Linked DNA regions of Daphnia pulex. The protein of the gene in region 2 binds, or shares a complex with, the protein of the main gene of each other region. Links are inferred from orthologs where the notes say so. Each region holds a gene or a part of one and is shown on either strand. Other genes may lie near its edges. The genes, in order: DNA polymerase eta-like and DNA repair protein REV1-like.

The links.
Region 1: the proteins of DNA repair protein REV1-like (region 2) and DNA polymerase eta-like are in contact, whole or in part, in an NMR structure (PDB 2LSK), measured with the Homo sapiens proteins. The link is inferred for Daphnia pulex from reciprocal best matches to the Homo sapiens genes REV1 and POLH. Residues at the interface, in NP_057400.1 of Homo sapiens: Asn1158, Leu1159, Ala1160, Gly1161, Leu1171, Leu1172, Trp1175, Ile1179, Asp1181, Pro1182, Met1183, Glu1185, Asp1186, Gln1189, Val1190; in NP_006493.1 of Homo sapiens: Thr528, Glu529, Pro530, Phe531, Phe532, Lys533, Lys535, Ser536, Leu539.

The regions. Positions count from the first base shown.
Region 1 is NC_060027.1:5,025,312-5,029,860, forward strand, and holds the start of DNA polymerase eta-like, read right to left. Parts: upstream 2,935-4,549; 5' UTR 2,439-2,934; coding exon 2,164-2,438; intron 2,100-2,163; coding exon 1,969-2,099; intron 1,895-1,968; coding exon 1,820-1,894; intron 1,760-1,819; coding exon 1,586-1,759; intron 1,519-1,585; coding exon 1,317-1,518; intron 1,255-1,316; coding exon 1,065-1,254; intron 989-1,064; coding exon 1-988. Other genes in the region: coiled-coil domain-containing protein 97-like, read right to left, coding at 3,214-3,341, 3,402-4,290. UniProt on the Homo sapiens protein: DNA polymerase specifically involved in the DNA repair by translesion synthesis (TLS). Due to low processivity on both damaged and normal DNA, cooperates with the heterotetrameric (REV3L, REV7, POLD2 and POLD3) POLZ complex for complete bypass of DNA lesions.
Region 2 is NC_060017.1:8,178,688-8,183,225, reverse strand, and holds the start of DNA repair protein REV1-like, read right to left. Parts: upstream 3,088-4,538; 5' UTR 2,620-3,087; coding exon 2,566-2,619; intron 2,498-2,565; coding exon 1,855-2,497; intron 1,796-1,854; coding exon 1,317-1,795; intron 1,251-1,316; coding exon 876-1,250; intron 816-875; coding exon 723-815; intron 659-722; coding exon 530-658; intron 466-529; coding exon 282-465; intron 214-281; coding exon 1-213. Other genes in the region: alpha-(1,3)-fucosyltransferase C-like, read left to right, coding at 3,146-4,348. UniProt on the Homo sapiens protein: Deoxycytidyl transferase involved in DNA repair. Transfers a dCMP residue from dCTP to the 3'-end of a DNA primer in a template-dependent reaction.

The DNA.
Region 1 (4,549 bases), on a different chromosome or scaffold from region 2:
CCTTCTTCTGGTTCTTCAACGGCCTCTTCGACGATTTTTTCTCGGCTGTCTGGACTTTCGAATTGTTGGCCAATGAAGAAGTAGAAGGCTGGGCAGAAAATTCCTTTTGCAATTCGGACGCCAAATGGAAATCTTTGTGTTCTTCGATTTCTTCTCGGAGAAATTGTTGTTTGCACTTGTCACATACAACGAATTTATCATTTCCATAACTACCTTTCCTAGCCTCGATTGCTTGTAAAACTTGGCGCTGTAGATGAAGCGGGAGTAGAGCTAGGGTATCCATATCAACTTGATTTAAATCTGGAAATAGTTCTTCAACGGAGAATGACTCTTGAAGACCCACCATTTTCAGGGCTGCTGGTTCAGGAACAGATTCTTTAGCTGATTGTATTGGAGTGTTTTTGTCAAGGCAACGAGAAGCAAAAAACCCAGTTTTTTTCACTATTCCACAGTTATCTTGATTGGAAATAGGCATTGAACTCATTTCTCTATGGACTGATACAGGCTCTGCTTCAGTGCACTCTGAAGCAGAGTCGGCTGTATTTGGTTCTGGTGCCGTAATACTTTCTTCTTCAATATCCAAGATTCTTTCAGTTTCTACAAATTCATTTTCTTCATCCTCCTGATCAGTACTGTTTTCGTTTAGATCATCGTTTTCATGCAATGCTTCCTGTTCTGCATAGGGTTCTTTTTCCTTGTTGGTTTCAGCACTATTTTTAGTGACAAAAAAGCGATCGATCCTGGAATTATTTTCCAGTTGATCAACAAACTTGCTAGCTGAAACTCCAAGGCAGGTAACAACCACTGGAACTCTAGTGTTGCCTTGTTTGAAACAAGGATTTTCTTTACTAATAACTGCCAAGCAAGCGTTCGCCATGTGCATTTTTTCGTATGAAGAAGTCAGAGGAATTGAACGAGTATAAGAGTACGGTCGTATATCGCCTTCTAATCGAACCGTCAGAGTTAATAGTTTTGCCGTTCTATTATTCTAAAAAAATAAATTTTCAAGGGAAAATATGTTATGCCAACACACGAAAAAGAGGTACAAGAGTGATGGGATTTACCGTTTCCCGGTCTTTCTCGAGTCGCTCAGAAACTTCAGCACATAACTCTTCTAGCCAATGGCTTATTTTCTCCCGAGAATCTAGTGCAGCTAAACCAGTGAAATTTTTATTACAGCCTATGGACTTGGGCAGTCTGCGGGAGCTGACCGACTCATGATCCACTCCTCGGGCGTACCAGTAAAGCCACGTGCTGAAAGACAAAGATTTCAATAAATATGAGAGGCATTTAAAGATGAAAGCGAGAAAACTTACCCCGTCTTACTATCAAAACGTTCCTGCAAGACCCGCTCGGGAATTTTTACGATATCTGCCATAGTAGTACAATGGAACTCTTCTCGTAGAACAAGACCAAGTTTACCACCAAGATTTCTAACTTTCTTTAAAGGGAACGTCGTAAAAAATTCCTCAACGGAACGAAAAGGCAAAACGGTTTGCTTGTTGGGCTTGTTGATGCCTATAGGAAAAAAAAAAGTCATTTTGAAGGCTCATAATAAAAAAAAAGAAAAGAAATAAGAGCATACCACAAGCTAGTTTCGCCAACATTTTATTGTTGGAAATCCCAGCAGAACAACGAAATCCGGTTTTTTCATAAACAGCAGCGCGCATCTTTTCAACCAAAATAGCACCATATGTTAATTTCCAGTCATTATCGTTGCAATTTCCTTCCGATAACGCTTGTAACCACCCGTGTACACCTACGAATTTATAGGAAATATTGTAGTAATAGAACTAGAGCATGTAAAATAATGACCGACCTTTTACATCATCTGTGTCGTTCCCCCATCCAACAAAGTAAGTGTTTGGAAGCTCTTCAAGATCGATCGCAGTGGCTATATTAGTAAAAGTAGGACATTGACAAAGTGAATGACGAATTTCATCAAGCTGAATTTTACTTTCAACCAACCTGTGGAATCTGAAAGCATTTTATCTATAACCGCGGTCATGTCTATGTATGCTTCATCAATACTGGCGCGCTCTACGACGACACCAAAGCTGCACATCACATCAATGACTTCTTTTCCTCCATCCCTGTACCTAGAATTGCAAATTATGAAAATTATATATATCTTTTTTGATAAATTTAGAAAAATACTTTTACCTTGTGAGATCAGCTTTTCCTCGCTGTTCAGGTACTCTGTAAAGAATGCAATCTGGACATTTTTCCCTGGCTTCATCTCCTCTCATCTGCTTAGTTACTCCTTGCGCTCTAGCTTCATAATTTACAGAAATAATACCACCCCCTTTCCATTTTTTATACTGCACCACACAGGCAGGTTTTCCTTTGTTGCCAGGATTTTCTCTCTCTTCCACTTGAACATAAAAACAGTCCATGTCAATCAAGGCTACAACTCGTTTTTCATCTTCAGCACTCATCTTTTAAGTTTTTTTGATGCACAAAAGTTCAAGTATTGTATCATATCCTCTCTGGTGGAAGGACTCAATGGAAGATCATTGCTTGATGTGGAACACTGACTATCAATTTCATTGTCATCACTTTTTGACAAAACCAAATTAATTTCCTTTGTAAGTATTGGTTCTTGAGACTTCACTTGATCAATACCATCGTTCAATTTTCTTTCCAAACAAGGAACTAGTTCTTCGTCTTCACTGTTATCTGGCGACGTATCAAAAACGACAAATTTTACATCTGGATCTCCTGCCAGGTATTTTGAGCTGTTTGGAGCAAAATGATACCCTTCGGACCACGTTTTCCCAGTTGTTTTAGACATTGACTTTTTAAACTTAATAAGTTGTCACATTTAATATTAGTTTAGCATGTATATCTTCCCGAGCAGATTTTTTAATCGGTAAACAACCTACATCCACAATTCCACATTGACACATTCCTCTCGAGTTGTCTGCTTGTTAGTTCCCGCCAAAACTTAAACCCGCCATACTTCAACCTGGTGCTTAAGCTACCTCTGAAGTTCTCATACATAATAAAAATTTGTTTAAAAAATGTTGTTAATCGTTTACATTATTAAAAAAAAGAAATTCGAATATAATCAATCACCAAATACTCAATTTACACGGATAATCTGTATGACTGTATGTACTCGAGTCAATTTTGTTATTGAATTTTTTTTTTATTTACTTTCATTACAAATCATGACATTTGGAAGATTTCATACAGCGAATTAATATTGTGTTAGTCACTATCAAAGTATCGTTCTTCGGCATCTCTTTCATATATGACATCGTCTTTGGGATGTGAAGAATCAATTTGGCTGTAGTCGAACTCTTCATCACGCCCACTGAGAAAGCTACTATACATACCTTTAAAAAATGGTAAATATTAATCGAAAAAAAAATAAATAAATATATCGTAAATAATACTTGATATAAATTCATCGCGGAAGAATTTCTTTTCTTCTTGATCTATATCATCATCATCATCCTCTTCTTCTTCCTCTTCGCAAGCTAATGCCTCATCCCAAGCTGATTGATCAGCTCGTTGTTCATTTCTCCTTTTAGAATTCTCAGAATCACCATCTATGTGGGCCATGAAAATTGTTGAAAGATTACATAGCTTTGGTTGTTCCTGTTCTAACAATCTTTTTTCATCTGATGACATATATTTCTCAACAAGCTCATGAAATAATATTGGGTTTCTTTTCCTCATTTCATCCATGCTGAAATATTTCCCTTCTTTTATCATTTCATTCATTGCATGGAAACGCAGGTTTTTAACACTAGTTTGTGTTAATTTATTCTGTTTTTCCAGCTGCTGAAGATGAAATAAAACTTCATAGTTGTTTTCAAATTGATGAAAGTAAGTCAGGTGATTTGGATTCAATATTTTTCCAAACCTGACTAAGAAATTTGAAGGACTTGATTTCAACACTGACGCTGCAATCTTTTTCTTCTCCTCAGCTGTAAGTGCTGGTTCATCACGTTGCTGGCTTCTAAAGAAAATATCTTCCGCTTGGCTATTTGCCACATAAGTGATCATTTGCTCTTTTGCCAAGTTGAGTTCTTCAACATCATTGTCAGTAATGTTGTCACATTCTGATTGATGAGTTTCTGGTAATGTTGAGGTTTCAGTTTGGTTGAATATAGGTAATTGAGTTGTTCCATTAAGATTTGATATCACAGCATCTTGTTTCCTAGAGTCTTCTCTTTTCTCAGATGCTGACTGGATCAATTTAGGTGTTTCATGTTTGCAATCACTAAAATCACTTTGATTATCCAAATTGGAACACATACTAACAGAATTTTGATCCATGGTCCAACTGTATAAAGCACTTATTACAATGATCCAGGAAATATTACACAACTTCTAGCGCCGAGAATTTAACAAAGTTTGAAAATTTTCTATTAGATGTAGAACCCAAAAATTGCAGTAAAAATACTCTCAAGTAAAACCCTCTTGACCATTTAAATATTTTATCCAATGTAGACAAGAGCCCAAGGCCAACGTTTGTTGTGCTTGTGCAGCATTTGTTTTGTCGTCTGCAATCTCTGCATCTCTGCAAAAACCGCAA
Region 2 (4,538 bases):
TATCAACTGTTTTAGAACTAGCTGGTTCCAGGATTTCACGTTCAGGTTCGGTTACATCCGCCACTGTTGTTACAACTTCTTCTGGTGGCACTATCCTTGAGCGGGCTACAAAATTGAGAAGAGAGTTCTGTATCGGTTGTTTGCCTTTGAATACGTTATCCTCTACAAGTTTACTAAACTGAATGCCCATTCCCCGCAACTCGCAGCAATCAACTGTAAAGAATAATTGAGATGGGTTAGAATAATATGGTTTGTGCAGGATAAGGTATATAGCGTACTACCTTTGAGTTGTTTCAAAAGGATTTGAACTTCTTTTTCGACGATTTTGGTGTCGCGAGTGGCAGAACACAATGTTGTGGATCGAGAAATGCTATCACATACTCCGTGACCCATAAATTTCGCTGTTTCTACAGGGGCATCTTTGGCGCGGATTTTGAGCTTCAAAGTCAACAGTTTTCCTCTCACCTAAAGAGACATTTAACAAAGTTAAAATTGCTTTCGCTGTTAAAAAAATGTTTAAATTAATTACGTGAATTTCTTCCATTCGTTTGGACACTTCAATGGACAGTTCTTGAACGAATTTGTGCATTTCCTGATCATTTGCGAAACGAATTCCATAATTTATATCTGCCGAAACAGATTTTCGAACGTGGTCCGTCTATGTGGACCACGCAATATTAACAATTTTGAAATGGAAAGTTAACCTGAGACTGAGATAATACCTTTAGAGCGCGTTTATCTTCTCCCCGGCACATATGATATAATGTTTGTCCTTGCTTTTGACCAAACTCTTGTTGGAGCTTTCCCAAGCTTACCTGATTTTCAGAAACACAATTACATATTTGTTTAATGAAATAGAAGCTATGTACACATACTTGCTGCATTTCAACACAAGTGCGAACGCCCATGCCATGAAGTCGATGAGCCATGGACCTTCCGACACCCGGCAGATCTTCAATTTTGTGGTCCTTCATAAATTCATTCATGTCTTTCTTGTTGATATAAAACAGTCCGTTCGGTTTGGCTTTTTTGGTTGCAAGCCTAGCCATCAGCATATTCGGGCCCATTCCGACAGAGGCGTTACATTGTGTCTTATTAAAGATGACTTCTTTCAAATGAGTAGCAAACTCGGCTGGCGTGAGTCCACTTTGGCGCAAAACGGAGGTAATGTCTGCGTACAACTCATCACAGCTGACGGCTTCCAAGTCCAAAGTGTACGCGGCAACAGTATTGTACAGCGAGGTGGACACCTTAAACACGCCCACAAACGGAAAAATGAATTAAAGATTTTAAATAATTGATTGTAAATGTATTACCTCCTTGTATCCTTCAAAATCGTACGGAATGGCAACCAGATTAGGACATAATTTCAAGGCACCTCCCATGAACATTCCGTTATAAATTCCAGCTGCGCGAGCTTCGTAGCTACACGAAGCGATTTCGGACATGGAACAAGTTTCATCCAAATCCTGAAGTCGTGGAAAAACATCTGAAAGCGTAGCCACCGTATCAACAGCATTGCTGTTATTTTCTGAAAATTTCGATTTTTTGATCCAATGTTCTTTATAGCAGTCGAATTCATATTCTCGATTGCTGCCTTCGCGTCTTGGAAGCGGTTTAGCGTCAGCTCTTGCATGGGTCACAACAACCGGTTTACCCACCAACGATGGATAGTTGCGCAGTCCAACCGAGACAAAGAAGCAATCCATGTCAATGTGCATGAAAACAGTTTCTTCACACTTGTAGTTTCCTAGGCAACCAGTCAAGTTCTTCCAGTTTTCAATACTTTCCATACCTAAATTTTTAAATATTACATGTAATTGCATTAATAAAATGCTGCTATCAAAATTGTACCTGGAAAAACACCATCATTTTTCTCTCGAAGCTCAGTCACATGTCTTTTGAATAACGCTCCCATTGTGGAAATGTGGTGAAGCCTTGAGCGTTTGTAAAATTCAGATAAAAAATCGTCTTCTCCTGCGCGTTTCATTTCTCTTGAATGTCTAGTAATATCACCAGGTGGAACAGGTTCAGAGGAATGTGCTTCATCAATTTTTCTTTCTATTGCTGTTTGATTGTCATCATTTTTCTTCTGTATTGAAGCAATGTCCAACTTTTGTTGCCCTTTGTCTAAAGTTAGCCCAGTGTAAAGCAAATAGGGCTTCACATCCAATAACATATTGGCTTTCAGACTTTCAACAATCCATTCTGGCTTAACAAATTTTTCGTCGCCCTTGAGTTTCTTGATTTTAGCACCACACAAGTTGGACGCAATTATATGAGTAGTCGTTTTTGAATTATAGTAATGGTGGTAAACTCCTCCATTGGCCAGCATGATGCGCTTCAGTTCTTCTGCAGTTGGACTGGTATATCCATTGACAAAAATTGCAACATTTGAAAATACATTGCTTAGTTTATCATCTTCTTGTACTTCATTGAATTGTTCATTCAAATACTGATTTTCTAGTTTAGAAATTTTTGCTGCCATATAACCCCCCTGTAAATAATGATTCCAAATATGAATAACATAATTAGTAGTGTCAGAAGTCGAATAAGTCGTCTCACCCACTCTGCAAATCCATTATCGTCCCTATTTTTCCTTTTACCCCTTCCAGCCATCGTTTAATAAAAAAGAAAATCTCAACACTTGCAAGAAAATTTTCCACTACATTTGAGTTTGCTGTGCACGTTTGTTTACATAAATTGTTTCAAAAAATATCACTAGATGGCAGAAGAAATTGCGCATTGCCAGATATTGTAAATCGCGTGTTCGGAAAAGATATTTTGAAATTTTAGTTTTTAAAAAATTAAATAAAACTACTGGATCAGGACTGTTGTTATTCTTTTTGAAAGTGTGGAAAGACACAAAAAAAGATATGCCAATTACTAAAGAAGATTTGAATGTTATCAGGAAAACAAATCTCAAAATGTAGGAAACAAAGGAAGAGCATGGGAAGAGGAACGCCCAAAGTATTTCCTGTTTGAACAATTATAAAACTTCCCAAATGTATAGCAGATGATGATGGCCGGAGATAATTACATGTATCCTCTTTTTCATTTGATGGTTTGCCAGGGGTATTATCTTCATTCGTATTTGTGTGTTAATCAGAAGAAGACGATAAACTGCCAGTTTTGTTTCCCAGAAATGGAACAACGTTATTGTGTCTCTAGGTACTTATCCTTGGCTGGAATTATAATAATGTTTGTGATCACTATAATTTGTTATCATCAGACATCGATCACTCGGGAAAGAGTAATAGTGCGCATCCACCCTAATGATGTGTTATCCGAGTCCCATCAGACGAAGAACATTCTATTGTGGAACGGTTACGATCGAATCGAAATGAAAGTCTTTCTTAGAAGTTTGCCCAACAATAACTCGTGTCCGTACAGGAATTGTCGAGTCACAACTGATCGTCGATCAAACTTACTGGGCAAATTTGATGCCATTATTTTCAATATGGCTGTGCTTCATCAACTGGAAAAGTCTGACAAGCTGCCACCAGCCGACACACGGGAGAGTCATCAATATTACATCTTTTTCAGCCAAGAATCACCTTTCTATCACAAGGAAAACGTCCAAAAGGATTACATCGGATATTTCAACTGGACCATGAGTTATCTGCCCGAATCAAACATTCCTTATCCGTATGGCCGGATAGAACGGGCAGCGGTTGATTTAAAATCCAAGTCTTATCTAATAAGGAAAAAGACAAAACTGGTCGCCTGGTTTGTTTCGCATTGCAACACAACTCAAAGTCGGCGAGAAAATTACGTCAGAGAATTGCAGAAGCACATCCCTATCGACATCTTTGGTCTTTGCGGTCCGTTGAAATGCAAATGGAACTCTGATACGGGGATTTCACATCCGGAATGTTACGACATGCTGGAAAAGGAATACAAGTTTTATCTGTCGTTTGAGAATTCACTGTGCAGCCATTACGTCACGGAGAAATTCTATTCGATATTGAAGCTTGACGTGGTGCCAGTTGTCATGGGTAGGGCCAATTACAGCGACATTGCTCCGCCGTATTCATTTATCGACGCCCTGAGTTATTCACCCAAACAACTGGCCGATTACTTGCTGTTGCTCGATGGCAACCAAACACTTTACGAGAGGTACTTGAAATGGAAAACCAGTTACATTATCCGCAGTGGATATGAAGAGATGGGCGGCCAGGCCTTGTGTTCTCTTTGTGCACAACTCAATCTGTCGGATGACCGGAAGGAAATAATGCCCGCTGATGTTTTGTCGACATGGAACCCAACGACCCGTTGTCTCAATCCGCGCTACGTGAAAGCTTTTCGCAGTATTGACGGTAATAATAATAGATCCACGACATCTTAGACTTGTTTCTACATCTCTGACTTGTCTCGTGCCTAATCAAATGAGACCATAAGTTCATCTAACAAGATTAGAGAGTTGCTTTATTCCCTACAGCATTATAAGGAATTGGAAAATAAAAAGAACTTTTTCTTCTCGAGAAGATGGTGGTAATCCCCTTTTGCATTGCACAGATACTTTTTGTAGAGCACAT